4 linked regions of the Arabidopsis thaliana genome follow. The protein of the gene in region 2 interacts with the protein of the main gene of each other region in a pairwise test. Each region holds a gene or a part of one and is shown on either strand. Other genes may lie near its edges.

Region 1 (5,510 bases), on a different chromosome or scaffold from region 2:
GGTTTTTGTTCCAAAAAAATCTTTTTATTTATCCAATTAAGATTTTGAAAAATTAGTTTATTTAAAGTACATATATTAATTTGTTTTAAATATTTGAAGCCGTGATATGCAAGATTTAATACCACTAAATCCTAATAAGATATGACGAAAGAGAAAATCTTTTCTTGATATATTTTTAAAAAAGTCATAATCTTTTGTTCTTGTTGTTTGTTGTGTTAGACTGGATGCTGCAATCGGCCAGGGAATTGCAAACTAGAGACGGTCAATGCAACATTGTGGGTTACAAGAAATCGTGAAGGACCACCTTTGGAAACGGCAATGATCTATGATCGTTACGGTGGCAATGCAGACATAAAGGATTATTACGATATGTGGAGACACGAGTTAAGTGTGTTGTACTATGATTGTATGACTTGTCAGGTTAGGATCATTAAGTCTCCAAGGCTGCGCAAATGGTGGCAGTTCGGTGTTTTCTTATCTTCCCTCACCTCTTTGTTTAGATAGATCACAAATTCATAGATGATTTTGATCGAATAGATTAGCGATTTGGTTCAAGAGAGTTGTTATTTTTTCGTCTTTAGAATATATATAGATCAATAAAAAAAAGGTTACAAAGTTATCTTAATTAATTACCAAAAAAAGAAGATAACTCTCTAAAGTAGTAGAGAAGAGAAAGACTTCACCTAAACAAACATAGTTTCGTCTATAAATCATATCACAGAAAACAAACTGCCACAAAACATTTTAACAAAAAGGAAAAAAAATGTGACCACAGAGCGATTTGGTATTCAGTTTCTGGCTTCGAAGAAGTCTTCTTCTTTATCTACCTAAGAACAGATTATCATCTTCTTTGTTCTACCAAAAATCGTAAGGGGGAGGGTGATTGGCAGCAACAGTTTTACTCGCATTTAATCGACCGGTAAATGTGGCGGACGAAGAGGAGAGCAGCGCGGAAGCCAACGGTTCCAAGCATGAGGAAGAAACCGTAACAAATGCAAGCCATGTACCCGAAGAAGAAGGATGTTTGCATGAAACCAGACATGTCTGATCTTGCGTAGTAGTAGTATAAGCAGTACGCATATATAAACAGACCAGTCGATCCACCACATAGGAATGATCTGCAACAAAGAATATTAATAACTATAACAATGTAATTTTATTATCACCAATCCAATTCAAATTCGAATTTAAAATCTACGGAAGGATTTAGTAGATGTGCCTAATCAAGCCAAACTGAAACCCTACGTAAGTAATCAGTTTGAAACTGATACTAAAACGAAACACAAACCATAGCAATTCTAAGCTATTTGTATTTGGTATTATCATTTGGTTTTCTATATTCCATATACCAAAAACCGAATTAAAAAACCAGCTTGGGTGGAAAAATTTACCTCCACCACCATTCATGATCTTCAGCAGCGAGTTGGAAGTAAGTAAGGGCAACTGTTATAAAAGCAGTGACGATCAACAGGATGATGAAGACGATGAAGAGGATGCTGTAAATGGTATAGATACGATGGCCCCAAACACTGGCAAAGATGTAATATAGCTCGATGTAGATGGCACTGAAAGGAAGAAATCCAGCCATGGCCATCTGCGGTACAGCACTCCTGTACCATGGGAGTGGCGGGATCTCCCGAGGATACTTAGTGGTGCGGACTGGAGCTTGGAACTCAGCTTTGCTGTTTTTACCGGCAATACCACCCAACACAAGTAAAGGCGAAGTGACTAGTGTCCATATGAGGACGATCACTATGATGGTTCCAAAGGGAAGAGCGGCAGTTGCACTGTATGCGATTGCAACGGTGTTTAGGAAGCAGAAGGTGAGAAATAGTGGGCCACAGAAGAGACCTCCAGTTAGCAGCAAATTTCTCACCTGAAGAGGAAGAACGGTGAGAAATGAAAAGCTTATCACTTTAAGTTGAAAAGAGTAAAGGGAAAGGGTTTACATACCCAATTCTTTCCTTCGAGTTGACAGTAGAAAGAGGAGGCAGTGTATCCGGCAATTCCAGATGTGAGAGCATAGATAACGACCAAAGCAGTGAAGAGTGCTCCACGGTTGTATGGATAGAACACTCCAACAAGTGAAAGCATGAAAATGAAGATGGTCCTGATGACATATGAGGTATATTACAGTTAGTAATGGCAAAGAATAACTAAAGATAAACGAAGGAGGCTGAAAAGAGACTTACAGAGTGAACAACTGGGTACCGCTACCAAGAGATGCAGCAAAGAGAGATTTGTTCTTTGGGAACCGGAAGACATCTCCATGAATGTATTTCCATCCGGTTTCCTCTTGATCATCAGCAGCTTCCTCATCTTGAGCATACCTTTGAAAGTTAGGGGAAAAGTTAATGGTTGGAAACAAAAGTGTGCATCGGTGAGTCAAGCACAAAGAGTTAGCATTCAAAACTTACTTCATGAAATCATTCTTGAGGACCCGCATCAGGATGGTTGCAAGGAAACCAGTCAAAAGAAGGACAGTGACGCAGGAGTTAATAATGGAGAACCAGTGGATTTCCAAGTGATGTGGAAGAGAAGAAGACATAGCATACTTATCCATTCTTTTCTCAAAAGAAGTCTCAGTTTCCTTCCACTTCACAGTGTACATAAACTCAGCATCGACTTCCTTATCCTCAGTAAGATCCACAAGCGAATGAGGATCCATTCTAGCATTGATTTCAATCACCCGATCCTTATTGTACAAAATCTCAAACTGGATGTGTTTGTAGAGAAAATATTTAAACTCGCTAGGATCAGATTTGCTCTCTTTGTCCACCTTCCCAATGAATCCCCAAATAGGCAAATCATCATAATACATCTGAAAGTAATAATCTTTTTCAACAGCTCTTCGAAAGTGTTCAACTTCTTCTCTACTAAGCTTCTTTTTACAGTACACCTCTGAGTCTTTCTCATCTCTAAAGTTAAGCTTGTATGGAGCACTAACAAGCCTATCCCCATTCAAAACCTCACCAAGAGCTTCCTTCTTATCTTTCACACCCTCTACACAAACCAAAACAAATGCATATTGACACCAAAATACACAAATCCGAAAAAAGTGAAAAACCACACATAACAGAGACAACATTGAGCGTGCTCGTACCTGGAATACAAAAGGGGAGATCGAAATAGCGATACGTCTCACTGCAACAATCATCAAACACAAGTAAAAATCAGTCATATAACAATGCAATCGAAGATCTATCACATTTTAAGAACACGAATCGAATTTTTTCAAGGTCAGATACAAAAATTCAATACCAACGCAAGCTTCTACAGAAATTTGCAACGATCAATTTATCACTCATCAAAGAGAATCACAGATCTAAGCTACCGACAAAGGAACTGAGATTAGAGAATTGGATTTACCTGGGATTGTGAAAGGGGCCGACCTTGTTGGCGTAGAGAGGAACGGAGTCACCGTCCTTGTAACGGTGGTCGGAGGCATCGGATCTGACAGTACCGGCGCCGGAGAAGATGAGAGCTCCGATAAAGAGGAGCAGCGTCGTTGGTAATCTCATGATGATGTGTGTTAATGTGAGAGGAAGAAGAAAATCGTGAGATCTGAGTTTGCTTTATATTTTTGAGAGCAACGCTTATGGCAAAAGGACGATTATATTACTTTTATTTATTTTATCTCTCTTTTTAACGAATTTTCTTCTACTAAATGCTTAAGAAAAAATATTGCGAATAAAAAGCATTATGTAAGAAAATAAAATCTGCGACATTTTAATATTTTTTTTAGAAATTGAAATGATTATTTTTATATATTTTATTTTTGGTTGTTTTCTTAAATCTTCTAAACAAAATTCGTATTAATTCACAAAATTTTAAATTATTTAATACGTTTCGTAAGAAACTTGTGAATGGCAGAGGCAAGTGATATAAACTGAAGCAAATAAAACTTTCTATAATCGATATTTTTTGTTACAATTGTCGTTTTTTTTTTAATAAGTAGCAATTTTCTATTGGTAGAGTGATTCTCTCGTTCTTGTGCTTTCTACTATTTATAGGAGTTTTATTGCATTCCATGTGACTATAACAATCAGTAATGTTCTTTTTACTCTTTAACAAAATCATGATGATGAAGATACAAATAAAAAGGTGGTCAAAAGAAAAAAGATCAATAGTGCCTCGTTTTTTTTTTTCACAATAGTATCTCGTTTATGAAATTGATTAAAGCAAAGCAAGTAAAAAGTATTATCAATTGGAATATAAACCAAATTTTTTGTACATAAAATGAATGATGTAGTAATTTATATACCTGATTATCTTAACTAAACTCAATTTTTTGCAACCAAACCAGATAAATAAGAACACTATAAAATTAAGATGTTAATTACACAGACAATAATTTTATTTATTTATAAAGTTTATTTTTGTAACAGCTCTGATACTTATTGATTTTGCACCTTCTTTGATGGTGGTGGCGAATCATACACTCATCAGCGACCATGATATGTAATCCATCAACGAGTTCTCTCTGAATCTTCTCGCCTGGAACCAGTTTTCCAGAGCATAAACATAAGCCTTAGAACAAAACAAACATCTACTATCCCCTGAACTACTAATGATAGAGTAATCAATGTAAACTCTTTTCCTATTGTAGAATTTACCATTAGACAAATTATTATGCATGTTGTTAGCATCTCTACTCTTGAAAAATCTTCGTAAGCTGATTGGAAAATCAAAGAATAACAAACTAACTAACTAACAATCACTACTCTATAAGCAAATCTTGAATACCAATAGAGATTCTTTATGTTGGATTCTATCTTTGAGCATTTCATTAGGATCGACGGTTGGTCGATTAATCAATACTAACCCAAACAGTCTTTTAACATGCACACTTGATACCTTGTAGGTGCTTCTGGGTAGCATGAAAATGATAATTGGTGTTATTCTGATATGCGAAATTGAAAATGTTGTTGTGCATCAGCTAAGCATAATTGAAAGTTTAAAAAATATTATAAATTTAACGTGAAGAATTGAAAGGTATCAGATTAATGTTTTGGATCAGCCGAATAGAGTCAGGCTAATCCAAATTCTCAAATATTTTCGAAACCTTAAACACATCAAACTCCACGAAGTAAACACACTCACACACATATCAAAATCCACATTATAAATGTATTTTTGGTAGGCTAGTCGTCTAATTCTAAAATAGCCAATTTACATTTGCAATTGTTTATTCAAAAAAGTACAACAGTAAGAGGTCTTATCAATTAAATCATAAGAAAAATATGTCCCAAAATGTCAAAAAACCAACTACGAATATTTCTTTTCCTTTTAAGGCCAAACCAGGTTTTGGAATACTTATTACAAATAAACTCAATTTCAATAAATTCTTGTACACAAATTAAGCACTAATTTCATTGTGAAGATACCATAGTCACATTCACATCTATATGACATCAATCTATAAAATCCAAAACAAACTATATATTATATTTATATTATTTTTTTGTCATCATTATATTTCCATTAATTTATCTAATTCTGGTTCTAAT
Region 2 (3,049 bases):
TGGGAATTTAGCATATAGGAGAGATGGAAACTCTTCTTTTTCCCAATGTTCCATCTATAGCGGAATTGTTAGATGACGCTGAAGTTGTTGGATTTGATGAAACAAAGGAGGAACGTTTTTTCTTTAAGATCATTTGCTGATTCTTGTTTCCTTACCTGAACACTCCACAACCAAGCTTTTATCCCAAGCTCTTTGCTTATAGCTGACTTAGAGGTTGGATTGTACAGGGAAAAGCTCGCAGTGATATGACTATGGAGGAAAGGTTTGGTGCAGCACACAGAAGGAAAATGGATGGGGCTCTCTGTTTAAGGAGGATAAATTGGAGGAGGCCAATACGAAATGGTTAGGAATCTCTCTTTCTTTCTAACAATTACGGTCAAAGTTTTGGTTTTCAAGGCATACTCAGCGACTCTGCCCGAGGCTCTTGCATCTCCTTTCGGCTCTAAAACAAAGAGCCTTAACTGGTTGATAGTGTTATCGCAATGGTTGGTTTGCCTTTTCTGCCGGAGTTAAAGCAGATAAAGAGGTATGAGAAGCTTAACAATTCAATTATATAAGACCAAAGTGAAAGATCACAACTCTCAATTCTCCTATGTCGGAATTGAATTTCTTATCTTATTACTGATTTGTGCAGAATTTACAAGGAGGAGCTAGCTTAGCTACTACCATGAAGATTTGGGGAAGCTGAGATGTTGCCAGGAGAAGTAAGCACAAACCAATAGTTGAGAGATATAAACATAAACAGCAAAAGAGAGACTCATAAGCATCAGGTCCTTGACGTCTCCTTTCTTCTTCTCTGGCTTCAGATTCTTCCCAATCTTCCCAGCCTCTGAAATCATCCTTCTCAATGTTCTCTGGATCACTCCTTCATTCTCTTCTGGTAATTTCTGCTTCCGACAAGACATCACTCTCATAGATCTAACTCCGTGTCTGCTTGAGGCTTGTCTCTTTGTACGGTGGTTAGTGCAGAGTGGGTGGTAGTAGAAGGTGGTGGAGAGAGCCGCCATGAGAAGATGAATAGAATAATTGAAGAAAGTTTTTTGTTTTGGGAATCAAAAGTGAGCAGGAAAATATCAGAATCTTGATAGCTTAACGACAAAAATGATTTGAAAAATGGGTGGATAGATCTCATCTAACACACACACATGTAGTCACAAGGTACACGCCAATGCAAAACCAAATTGGCCGAATTTCTATTCGGTTCGTTTCAACTAATTCGGTTTGTTTCGATTTCTAAACCGAAAACCCAAATTTTTTGATCCAAACCGATTCTGAATGGCCAGGTAATCAGGTATAGTCGGAAGCATCTACAAATTCACAACAACAACACATTATGTCTGACTGGTGAGATAAATGATGACTGAGTGGATAAGCAAAGAATAAAATAATGTCATAAAGTCAACAACATGTCTCTGTGACTCTATCTCTATCCTATTATTAGATTTAATCAGATAACTTTAAAATCTGGTTGCTGAAAAAACCGTATCTCATTATTATATAAATAGAGAGAGAACAGCCCCACGTAAACAAATAGCGATAGAGCAACTGTGTCGATTGTCCCAAATAATTTTAAAAATAATTTCACGTGTCCCCATTTTGCTGACGTCATTATTCCCCTTTTTCCTTTTTATTGTCACATCAGAATTTTTTCTAACTCATTCATTTCAATCAATCTTCTTCTTCTTCTTCTTCTTCTTCCTCAGAGAAATTCTGTGTTGTTGTATACAGAGAGATGTTCTCATCTTCTACACTCGTTTATTCTCTATCTCTCTTCCTCTCTCTTTCTCTTCTCTTCTTCCTCTTCATCCTCTCACCACACATCCTTCTCTCTTCCTCTACCCTCATTTCCACCGCCGATGACCTAGACGACCTCTCTCTCTTCCACCGCGCCGTCGTCTCTTCCTCCACCAACAACAACCGTCGTCTCATCTCCCTCTCTCCAAATCCACCCCCAAAGATCGCTTTCCTCTTCCTAACAAACTCCGATCTAACCTTCTTACCTCTCTGGGAAAGCTTCTTCCAAGGTCACCAAGATCTCTACAACGTTTACATCCACGCAGATCCAACCTCCTCCGTCTCTCCTCTTCTCGATTCTTCATCAATCAACGCTAAGTTCATCCCGGCGAGAAGAACCGCACGAGCTTCTCCGACGTTAATCTCCGCCGAACGACGATTACTAGCAAACGCAATCCTCGACGATCCTAACAATCTCTATTTCGCTTTAATCTCACAACACTGTATCCCTCTCCATTCCTTCTCTTACATCCACAACCACCTCTTCTCCGATCATCATCAACAAAGCTTCATCGAGATCCTCTCCGATGAACCGTTCCTTCTGAAACGATACAACGCAAGAGGAGACGACGCGATGCTTCCTGAGATCCAGTACCAAGACTTCCGTGTTGGATCTCAGTTCTTCGTATTAGCGAAACGTCATGCTCTAATGGTGATCAAAGAGAGAAAGCTATGGAGGAAATTCAAATTACCATGCCTTGATGTTGAATCTTGTTACCCTGAAGAACATTATTTTCCGACTTTGTTGTCTCTTGAGGATCCTCAAGGATGTAGTCACTTTACACTCACACGTGTTAATTGGACCGGTAGTGTTGGTGGTCATCCTCACACGTACGATGCCTCTGAGATCTCGCCGCAGCTGATTCACTCTCTGCGGAGATCTAATTCGAGTTTAGACTATTTCTTCGCCAGAAAATTCACGCCGGAGTCATTGCAACCGCTTATGGAGATTGCAGATGCTGTGATCTTTAGGGATTGAATTCGGTGAAAGTAAATTAGGTATAACACTGAAATCTCAATGTGTAAATATGAATACAGTTTGAGAGTTTAGTTTCAATTTGCTTATCTTCTTGTTATTGTGTTCAGGTTTCAGATATCATCATAAGGAAGGTTTAGGAAGAAGCTTGTGTTGGCGCTCGAAGAAGAGTGGCTAAATAAAGATGAACTTCTGTGTGTGTGTGTGAAAATTGCTGTGTTTTTTAAGCTTTTGTGTGTCTCTAGGGAAGGTAGAGATATGGGAAAATGGATGTAAAAA
Region 3 (6,613 bases), on a different chromosome or scaffold from region 2:
TAATAAATATTTAATTGATAATATAAGAAAAAAAACTAACTATTGATTAAAAATATTTAGCAATTAAAAAAAATTAACTTCTTAAAAAACTAACTATTAATATTATGAATACTAACTAGCAATTCTAGTTTCTTTGTTCTTTACTTTGGGTTCCAGTAGCATTCATTTCATGGTTCGTTTGGTCACGTTGATCTGATCAGTCAGATACTTAAATCGGACGTTCCTACATATTCCTCGATTAAAAATTATTTTGCTTTTGCCAATATAAACCAAACGCAAACGGATTTTAGCGTTTTGTCCTCAACTGTTATATCTCGAGAGATTAGATAGGTTTCATAATGTAGGCCCAATAAGACCTTATTAATTTTAAATTCAAAATTTTAAAATATTTTTTTCTCTTCCGTTTACTCAGCCACTGTGACCGTTGTTTGCTTAGCCCATAAATCGATTTTTGTGTTTATTGGGCCTACAGATTTTCTTTCTTTAGACTGTGTTGTATAACAAAATGAAGAAGACTCAGAAACTCGAAAGCAAGCTTCGGTTTGGCTGAAGTGGAAGGAGGAATTAAGAAGATATGGAGGAAGAAAGACAAACATATCAAATTATACTCTACGACTTTAAAGATCAACAATCCATGTCATTGTGTCCAATCTACAGAAGATACTAGAAATTAGAAAAGAATTACAACAGCTTTGACCAAGTGACTTGTTACCATTCACCAGCCAATTACTCTCAAGCCAGAATTTTATTTAACCAAAAAATATTTCGGATGTAAATTCAGAAAACCGGAAACTTAACAACGATGACCAAAAGCCAAATTTCTTAGGAACTTGAAAAACTAAAAAAAATTAGGTAATTACTAACTTCACTAAAATAAAATATATAAAAATGTTTTTTTGTGGGTGAGAGAGAAAAGGAGAGAACTAAATACAGGCGTCCTTCAAAATACAACCCTCCCTGTGCTTTTGCATCCTCGCAAAAACAAACAATTAAATCTCTATTGAGGATAATCATAACAACAAACAGCTCCTAAAAGAAATCAAACCGGAAATCTTTACCCAGATGAACCGAACCTGGCCGGATTAACCAGAACCTAACCATGCAGCTCAAGAGTTTGTGAGCCTCCTTTTCCCTTTTCTTCACTGTACATTTTCTGGTTTCTCAGAGCCAGTCACCATTGCCGGACCAGAGATGTCTAGACGACGACGGTCCACCGTGTTCGCTCATGCTTCCTCTCAGTCTAAAGAAGTTTCTTCTACTACGCATGGGTCTTAACGGACCTGATCTGTTTGGTAGAATAAGACCTCCTACTCTTGGAATGCTAGAGGCAGAGTGAGGCCGGTTCTCCATGTCCTCTAGTGGTCCTGAGCTATAATCCATTGTTATGAACGACGAAGCTTGACCATACCTTAACCGAGGTGTCAAATTCCACCAGCTGCTATCCGAAGGAGCCAGATCGCCTTTGAAGTCAGCAGAGTCTGGTACTGATGAGTCCTTTTGGCTGCAATAATCACCACAGGTCTCATCTGCATCGTTGTATATAAGTTTTAGTGCCTGCACAACTTCACCCATGAATGGTCTGTGTGAGACCTCTTGGTGGACGCACATGGAGGCAATCGCAGCCACTTTCGCCATGTCATCAAAGTTGTAGGTTCCAGCCAATGCAGGGTCCACCAGTTGCTCCAGGCCCTCTCTGTTGGCTAGTAAGGGTCTCGCCCATGTCACAAGGTTTTCCTCTCCCGAAGGTTGAGACATGTCTACTGGTCTTCTACCGGTTAGAAGCTCTAGTAGAACTACACCATAACTATAGACATCGCTTTTAACAAGGAGATGCCCCGTCATTGCATACTCAGGAGCCACGTACCTGAAATTATTTCCAGGGTAGTCACTGTAAGTCCAGAGTGTCTGTATTCATCATATTTGAGTTGGAAAGAAATTTTACCCAAAGGTCCCCATGACTCGAGTTGAAATATGTTGACTTCCTTCGGTTGCTTCTCTTGCCAGTCCAAAGTCTGAGACTTTTGGGGTAAAGTCATCTTCTAGGAGAACATTGCTAGCCTTGAAATCACGGTGGATTACTCGGGGATTTGAATCTTCATGGAGATAAGCCAGTCCTCTCGCTGCTCCAAGTGCAATCTTCAACCGCGCATCCCAATCAAGCGTTCCTTCTGTTTTGTCAACAACCGGAAAGCCAGGTTTTAGGTGGTGATGCAACGAGAAGTGATGGATATAATTGGGATATATTGTTATTAAAAGTGCAGAGAAAAGAATATGTCACCGTGTAAGTGGGACTCAACACTCCCATTGTGGACGAGCTCATAAATCAAGCAACGTGTACGACCTTCAATGCATATTCCAATCAGTTTCACAAGATTGCGGTGGTGCAAACGGCTTAGCATCTCGACTTCGGCAATAAATTCACGGTCTCGATTCTGATTGTCCCTAGTTAGCAGTTTCACTGCAACCTCAGTTCCATCTTCCATACTCCCCTGATAAACACGACCAAATCCGCCCTCGCCCAAAACCCTCTTGGCACTGAATCTATCAGTAGCCTTCTCAAGCTCGGAGAGTGTGAAGGTCTTAACTGATAAAGCACATGTAGCCATGGAAGACATCAAAGAATCTGAGCCTGAGCTTCTGGCGCTACTGGAAAACATAGATCCAGCACCTGCAAGGCGAATAAATTTTTCAGAAACAGGTTCTTTTAAAGCTATAGAAGCGTTAAGAAGTCAGAGGGTGAAAATTACCAGGCCTTTTGTTAATCGATGGAGCCAAAGCCGGACCAACAGCATTAGATGACTTCCCAATTTTCTTCCATTTCACGATTATAGAAATAGCTCCAACCAAAACCAGAATGAGGACAAAACCTGACAACGCAATAATTGCAATCGTTCTAAAACCTATTCCCTGGCTTTTGTTGGCAAAAGTTGTTGCATTGATCGGAATTGGAAGGCCTCCTGGAGCATCTCCAGTAACATCTCCATTTGGCGAAGAAGAAGGAATTCCTGAAGCAAGGTTAAGAAGTTCAAACTTTGAAATAAAACAAAAAAAAAGTAGAAACTTGCATCTGAATGAAATCAGTTTACCTGGATAACTTATGTGCGTAACCTCATAATCACCAAAAACAGTCTCATTTAGAGGTACTTTCTTGTGCCGGAATCTCTGATAAATAAGTGTTGCTGTAGTGTTGTCGAACTTTTCCCCAAGTGGAACAAGGTTAATATCCACCACTGTTTTCCCTTGATTTTCACTGTCGGCACTGGCACCCATTATTTTCACTTGGCTTTGTTCCAAGTATGTTCCAGCAGCAACCTCAATTTCTAACTCGTTGGTCACGGGGAAAATAGAAAAAGGTGCGACACTTAGTAGAAGCTGAACTTTCATGGGGAAGACACAACCACAAGGTGAACCAAAGGGAGTTGAAGTGAGAGGCTCCACACATGTCTGCTGACAGTCTATCAAAAGGAAAGCCGGAAATACACAGGAAAAAGTAGTTACTACGCTTGATTTATCAACTGAAGTCTGAAGAAAAAGTATTCATATAAAACATTATCGTTGCCACTATAATAGGACGCAGGATAACCAACAAGAAGCAAAAGAACTACCATGTGACGAAGGTGACACTGCAGTGGCATTGCGTCTTAAATGCCAGCGACGATGACGGTGATGACCCTTGTGCCTTAGTGGTGGAATGCGACTTGGGTTGGGGGAAAAAGCTAAAAAGGGAAAGACAATGAACAATGAATACTCCTAGACAGAAACATAATGACACTATGTTTAGGTGACAAATAGGATTCCCTTACTGACCTGGTGAAGGTGTAGGAGCAACTGATGGATTAAGATAAGGATGAAAGAAATGCATTTGATGCGCCTTTGATCGGGTAAATGGCAAACTCATCGGAAATAACCGAGCTGCAAATGATAAAGCAAGCTGATAAGTCATCTATAGATTCTTTCTACACATGTCGAATATTCATAGCAGTGAAAAGTTTCGAAAAAATAGAATGTTTCTAATAGTATGCATACTCCATCCTCCTCTCTTGGGTTTAAAAGTATAATGCCAACTGTAGAGGATAAAATTTGGCCAAGAGAATGTCACACAAAATCGATATTTCCTCAAGATACTCAGAAAAGAAAGAGTAAGATCTATGTGCATTCTAGCTATTAAAAGGTTGTGTGCCAATTAAGGCACAAAACGTGAGGACTTGATCTTCACTCTCACGCTTCACAATCACAGATTCCAAACTTAAATAATCTAAACTCTTTTGCTTACTTTGTACATAACCAAAATTAGCTTCTAAATATATCTAAATCCAATAAACAATTCTAAATATAGATAGACCACCAACTAATCTTGAGCTGTCAAAGTAAGAGCAACTTAACTAAAGGTTAATTTCTCCTATCAAAATCGTTTCCTAAATTTGAAAAGGGGAAAAGAAATTTGTTAACTAGTTCATACCAAAGCATATAGGAAACGAGGCGAGAGAGTGAAGAAGAAGAATTAACAGCAGAAGCATCGCAAAGTTCCGCATCTCTTATCTCAAATCAAAAACCACCATTAGTCAATAACGGAGACACCAAGCCTCGGCGAACACTCTCCGCCGATCAAAACGAAGACTAACCAGAACCAAAGGTGTAACCATATAGCTTCCTCAAAGCTTCACAGACATTGATTTCTCCCTCGTCCCGAAAAAAATTCAAAAACCCTAGGGTTAGAGAGAAGCGAGTAGGTTTTAACGCGATTTTGACAGATCCACGAAATGCGGCTCGAGATCTGTACAGAGCAGGGAAGCAGAGAACGAGAGCTTCTCCGACGATAGAGAGAACGAGAGCTTCTTCTCCGGCGAAGGTATCAGAGTGGTAGAGAGAGATTGGAAGCGAAGAGAGTAAAGTGAATTCGAAACCAGAAGAAGCGAAGAGAGAGAGAGAATTTAATGCTGATGGTGGGAAGGGGGCGTAGGGTAGTGTGTTGCCGTAGTGAGACTGCTTTCGGAGAAAGGCAAAAAAAAAAAAAAAAAAAAGGCGATGATGATGGCGTTAGCGAACACCGACGCGGTTTCGTATGCGCGTGGTGGCCACGCACATCGAAACGACAAAACTGGTGGCCGTTTGCTACCGTCACATCGACAAAACCGTTTCTTTTTTGGGCGTTAGTTGCCTTATTGGGCCGGGACTTACTTGAATTTTAGCCTACTAAACGGAATCGTTTTGGGTTTGATTTTTTTTTTTTTTTTTTTTTTAAAAAAAAAAAAAAAAAAAAATTAAAAACCCCAAATGGGCTGGGCTTGATTTCTATAAACTTGGAAACTAAGTATTTTCGGATTTTACTTTTGTTAAAAGTTTATTTTCGAAATATTTTACATTAAAAAGTAATAGTAATAATTCCACAAATGACAAGTATCAACTCTCAAAACTATTCCATTTTCGTGTTTGTTTCCAAAATTAATACTATATACTTGGCAAAATTTCCTATACTTTTAAGAAGACTTTATCAGTTATTTCCATTGTTTCTTTTTTTGGGTCAAAAATTCAATTGTTTCTAAAATATTAAAAGCTAACTAAATGATGGTAGAAGTAATTTTGATCCAAAATATAACAATGTTTTTCCGGTTTTGATAAATTTGGACTATTTGTCTATTAGGCAAAATAGAAGTTTGATCAAATTTAATCAAGACCATATGTGTGTGCCTCTTTCTATATCTATCGCTTTTCGATTGTTGATTGTCTTCTTTTACATTACATGGATATTTTCCCCTCCCTAATCATTTAAACAGGCAGTGATAATGATGGTATGTTTGATTTTTGACCTTAAAAAACTCAAATCAACAAACATTATTTATGTCAATTGGCAAACAGGTACTTTTTAGGACTTAATTTTATGATGTACTAGTAGCAGCTAATTAAATGATACACACAATCGAGATTGTAATAAACTACAGCACTCCCTCTACAAAATACAATCAGTGAAGAGAGTTAACCTAGGGACGGAGATACAAACTACCCTTATGAATCTTTCAATCATTCAAAAATGTTTCAAAATCAAATGACAACGTACTAGCATAGTCTTGATTTCCCGGTTCAGGTAACGGACTAACAGGGCCGGTTGGGTTAGGATTTTCCATTAGCCATTTCTCAAATTCCGATAGTTTGGTCTCCAAGACGTTTTCATTAATCCCTGGTTGCTGTTGTACCGTAGCTGTATGCGAATCTTCAGCAGTAAGAGGAGCTTTGGACGGAGCAAACCGATCCACATTTGTCTGAAACTGACGATTTCCACTACCACGTATGTTCTGGTCTGCATGTCGAGTGAACACGTTGCTCTGAGAACCAGGTAGCGCTGTGCAATGATCACGAACATTGCGTTGTTGAGTGTACGTTTCCGGGTTTAATGTAGGTGCCACTGTGGAAGAGCTATGGTGACTGGATTGTGAAACTTGAGCATTGTTAAATCGGATGCTGATACCATTTCCCGCAGAAGAGGCTACTCGGGATCGTAGGCTAAACCTATAAGAACTTCTATCCTTTTGGATCACGCTGTCGCGAACAGTGCTTAATGACTGTGCCGGTTGACTCTGCAACCCTTGATTGTGCGGAATCGGTTGCCTGATTCTAT
Region 4 (4,372 bases), on a different chromosome or scaffold from region 2:
ATAGCATTCAAAATGAATAAAATTTGTAACAGTTAGTTCTTGTGTTAGTTTATGTATAGAAATTTTAGCGAAGTATAGTTGTTGACCCAAAAAAAATGTAGGAACATATATAGTTTTCTTTGGTCCCAAAACGAGTTTATTTTTTGTTCTTCAGTGTTGAACACTATTTTGCTCGAACATGTCTGGTCAACGTCCGACCAGCCAATTCCACTTCATAGTTTGCATATTAACGAACTTCCATCTTTTTGCTGATTACAGCTTTCATTATACCGTTTAGATTTTTCTTTTTTTGCCTAAATAAAAAAATATGACCCTAAACATTCGTAATTAATAGAAAACATTAAATAAGTACGATACAAAAGACTGAATCTCTATAATAATAGATTGAGACCATATTCTTGTGAGATAAATAAAAGATTGAGACCATATTCTTGTGACAATTGGTATACAATTAGGTTACAAATATTCTAATCCAAATTTAATTTCGAGAACATAATCGTGTGAGTAACGATAAACAATTTCATTTTGTTTACAAAGATATATGATATATTGCACTTTTTAAAATCTAATATGCTTACTTTTTTGAGCTGTCATTAATCCCCAAACTCCACTTTGGGATTTTTTTAAAAAGTCTAATTCAACGCGTGGGGCACACCGTGTGTAAACTTCGACTTTGAAAAGTTATAAACAGAAAATGATGTTTTTTAAAAAAACAGGGAAAAAAAGAGAAGTTTCTATTTGAAATAGGTTCAAAACCCACTGGCCAAGTACTTTGTTAGTGGCATGTTTATCATGAGAATATATTTGACCCGTCCCTTGTTTCAGTTTTGCTATTACGTTCCGTGTCAGTTAATTTAAAACTCTAATCATATCTTATTTGATTAAAGAATATAGTGATGATGAAAAGTTATATTTTGTGTACTTGAATGTTTGAGTTGGGCCTCGTCTATCATATGGCAATATCTCCTTTAAGTGTGTGAACGTAAATTACCAATTTCAAGGTCCTCCTCTTAACGTAAATTATCCCAGCTCTCAGGGTTTTTCAGCAAGGGAATAATATAACAATCTAATTAGTCAAAAATTGGATCAAGTGCTAGTAAATTATGCTTGGTTTACTAATCTTTCCTCATTCTTTTTTCCCCATTTTGATTTATGAGGATCACGTTTAATGTAAGGTTTAAATTTCTCAAACCAGAGCTGGTTGTCATCGTTTAAATGAATCTATATGCATGTATTCTATTCCATTAGAAATTATACACACGTAGTTAACTGTAATTAGCTATAGTTAAATCCGTACACACCGTTTTTTCCAGTTTGAATCAGTATAGTGATACATGATATAAGTATATAACATGCGTATAATCAACATACATGATTTAGACAAAATATATTATTATTCTAATTTTTGTCATATAGATTTTGATTCACATTATAAACTGTATATATTGACAAGAAAAAAAAAACATTTGACAAAAGAAGAAAATAATAAACATTTTTTGAAATCATGATTTTGAGGTGATAGTCTATTTATACTAATACTAATGATACTATGTGTCAATGCATCACTAATACATCTTCAGATTGAGTAGAAACCGTGTATATGGATTTAACTCTAGTTAAACAACAAGAACATACAAATTTGAATGTAATAAGCGTGTAACCATTTGACTTGAAAATAAAATACATATGACCAAATTGAAAATAATAATATTAAAATCCAGTGCAACGAAAAAAATAATATGTTAAAACAATAAAACCCACTCACTACTTTCTCTATATAAAGCCAAATGCTTCAACCAATCTTCTTCACACCTACAAATCTTCTTCTTCTCTCTCTCTCCCTCTTCCTCTGTCACACAGATATTGACAAAAACAAAAAGAATGAGTCAATCAAATCGTGTCAGAGACGAAGTTACATTACCTTTACTCCAAAAAACCTCTCATCTGAAAAATCACTCCTCTGTTCTCTCTGTTTTCCTAAATGAAGCAATCTCAATCTGCAAAATCTCTTACCCATTGGTCCTCACTGGTCTCTTCCTCTACGTTCGCTCCTTCGTCTCTCTGTCTTTCCTCGGTGGTCTCGGTGACGCCACTCTCGCCGGTGGCTCCCTCGCCGCCGCATTTGCAAACATCACCGGATACTCTCTTTTCTCCGGTTTAACCATGGGCGTTGAGTCTATCTGTTCACAAGCCTTTGGAGCCAGACGCTATAACTACGTCTGCGCGAGTGTCAAGAGAGGAATCATCCTCCTTCTCGTCACTTCTCTCCCTGTTACACTTCTTTGGATGAATATGGAGAAGATTCTTCTAATCTTGAAACAGGACAAGAAGCTCGCGTCCGAAGCGCACATCTTTTTGCTTTACTCTGTTCCAGATCTTGTCGCTCAATCTTTCTTACACCCATTAAGAGTTTATCTTCGGACTCAGTCAAAGACTCTTCCTTTATCAATCTGTACAGTGATCGCGAGTTTTCTTCACTTGCCAATCACGTTCTTCCTTGTAAGTTACCTCGGTTTGGGGATTAAAGGAATCGCTTTGAGTGGTGTTGTGTCTAATTTCAACCTTGTCGCTTTCCTCTTTCTCTACATCTGTTTCTTCGAAGACAAGCTAAGTGTTAATGAGGACGAGAAGATAACAGAGGAGACATGTGAAGATAGTGTGAGAGAATGGAAGAAACTACTCTGTCTTGCGATACCAAGTTGTATATCGGTTTGTCTTGAGTGGTGGTGCTATGAGATTATGATTTTGCTTTGTGGGTTTCTCTTAGACCCTAAAGCAAGTGTTGCTTCAATGGGAATTCTCATCCAAATCACTTCTCTTGTGTACATTTTCCCTCATTCCTTGAGTTTAGGAGTCTCCACCCGGGTCGGAAACGAGCTTGGTTCTAACCAGCCAAAAAGAGCGAGAAGAGCAGCCATTGTTGGACTTGGTCTCAGCATCGCCCTAGGGTTTACGGCTTTCGCGTTTACTGTCTCGGTTAGAAACACATGGGCGATGTTTTTCACTGATGACAAAGAAATCATGAAGTTGACTGCCATGGCTCTGCCAATCGTTGGTCTATGTGAGCTCGGGAACTGCCCGCAAACTACGGGATGCGGTGTTCTCAGAGGCTCCGCGAGGCCGAAGATCGGAGCTAATATTAATGGAGTGGCGTTTTACGCGGTTGGCATTCCGGTTGGAGCAGTTTTGGCGTTTTGGTTTGGGTTTGGATTTAAGGGACTTTGGCTTGGGATGCTTGCGGCGCAGATCACGTGTGTGATTGGTATGATGGCGGCGACGTGTAGGACCGATTGGGAACTTGAGGCGGAAAGGGCTAAGGTGCTCACAACGGCGGTGGATTGTGGCAGTAGTGACGACGACGCCAAGGAGGATATGGAGGCTGGGATGGTTGATAAGTAGGGAGGAATGAGTCATGAGGAGGTCTTTAACAAAAACAAATTGACTTTGTTTTGAATTAGTTGATAACTTTTTTCTTTTATTGAGAAGAGATTCGTTGGAGGATTAATGTAAATTTTGTAGTGTAATGATAACACAATCTAGAGATTCGTCGTTGTATTCAAGGTTTTTAAATTCATAAGGTCAAATTTTGCTCAAATCGCTTAAACCTTTCTTTATTCGACAGAATTCAGTTACATTGTATGTTTTGTTTAGTGTAACGATTTTTTTGGACGCAGAATAAATCTTGAGAAAATAAATAAACTAACCATTGACCTTACTGAAGAAAATCAATAACCATGGGATTGTGGGTGTCTTTGTTAATTCAATCAATATAACAAACTAAAGTAGCACATGCGGACGAAATGTAAAAATAATGGGGGATTTTTTTTTTTAATATGCATAAATAATTATATAACTATATTTAAATAACTGCAAATAAGGTGTGTACAAGGAATTAAATTCACATATGTATTATAACCATAGTCGACAATTTCAAATATACATGTTTGATTAATTAGCTTCTAGTGATGCTTCGAGGCAAAGTATATCCCTCTATGTGATAGATCATTTACACATCAATTTCTTCCGTGGTAAAATAAAATAGATAAAACCTTTGCGATTATTAAAAAAGCCATAACTATGGGATCATGGTTAGTTTGTGTTTTCTTTTACTTTGGAAACTCCTGATTTAAATAGAAAAACATTTAACATAAAAGAAAAAGCCTTTATTTACACACAGAAGTTTAGCCAATCACTTACTTCTTTCCAAATGCTGCTCACAAAAATAAGTTTTTTCATATTTTCATTAGGATAACGTCAAAAATATCATTTATTTATTTAATAAATCTTTTATCGCTAATTTTATTTTCTATTTTTTATCTTTTTAATATCGTTTATCGTTACATATAATAACTTTAGGCAAATATATATTTAA

Evidence for each region.
Region 1: the proteins of AT3G52070 (region 2) and AT2G01970 interact in a protein complementation assay, tested with the Arabidopsis thaliana proteins (one large-scale study listed by BioGRID).
Region 3: the proteins of AT3G52070 (region 2) and ALE2 interact in a protein complementation assay, tested with the Arabidopsis thaliana proteins (one large-scale study listed by BioGRID).
Region 4: the proteins of AT3G52070 (region 2) and AT5G52050 interact in a protein complementation assay, tested with the Arabidopsis thaliana proteins (one large-scale study listed by BioGRID).

Annotation. Positions count from the first base shown.
Region 1 is NC_003071.7:451,299-456,808, forward strand, and holds AT2G01970 (Endomembrane protein 70 protein family), read right to left. Parts: upstream 3,662-5,510; 5' UTR 3,522-3,661; coding exon 3,370-3,521; intron 3,145-3,369; coding exon 3,104-3,144; intron 3,004-3,103; coding exon 2,418-3,003; intron 2,331-2,417; coding exon 2,193-2,330; intron 2,111-2,192; coding exon 1,954-2,110; intron 1,877-1,953; coding exon 1,392-1,876; intron 1,119-1,391; coding exon 899-1,118; 3' UTR 560-898; downstream 1-559. Other genes in the region: TET14 (tetraspanin14), read left to right, coding at 220-504.
Region 2 is NC_003074.8:19,310,711-19,313,759, reverse strand, and holds AT3G52070 (RNA/RNP complex-1-interacting phosphatase), read right to left. Parts: upstream 1,043-3,049; 5' UTR 1,008-1,042; coding exon 663-1,007; 3' UTR 536-662; downstream 1-535. Other genes in the region: AT3G52075 (uncharacterized protein), read left to right, coding at 340-513; AT3G52060 (core-2/I-branching beta-1,6-N-acetylglucosaminyltransferase family protein), read left to right, coding at 1,733-2,773.
Region 3 is NC_003071.7:8,755,314-8,761,926, forward strand, and holds ALE2 (Protein kinase superfamily protein), read right to left. Parts: upstream 4,986-6,613; 5' UTR 4,533-4,985; coding exon 4,460-4,532; intron 3,913-4,459; coding exon 3,808-3,912; intron 3,717-3,807; coding exon 3,606-3,716; intron 3,456-3,605; coding exon 3,087-3,455; intron 3,006-3,086; coding exon 2,748-3,005; intron 2,669-2,747; coding exon 2,279-2,668; intron 2,169-2,278; coding exon 1,943-2,168; intron 1,865-1,942; coding exon 1,162-1,864; 3' UTR 539-1,161; downstream 1-538. Other genes in the region: RIN13 (RPM1 interacting protein 13), read right to left, coding at 6,015-6,613. UniProt on the Arabidopsis thaliana protein: Required during the differentiation of the protoderm into shoots epidermis and cuticle.
Region 4 is NC_003076.8:21,137,052-21,141,423, forward strand, and holds AT5G52050 (MATE efflux family protein), read left to right. Parts: upstream 1-1,651; 5' UTR 1,652-1,881; coding exon 1,882-3,399; 3' UTR 3,400-3,825; downstream 3,826-4,372.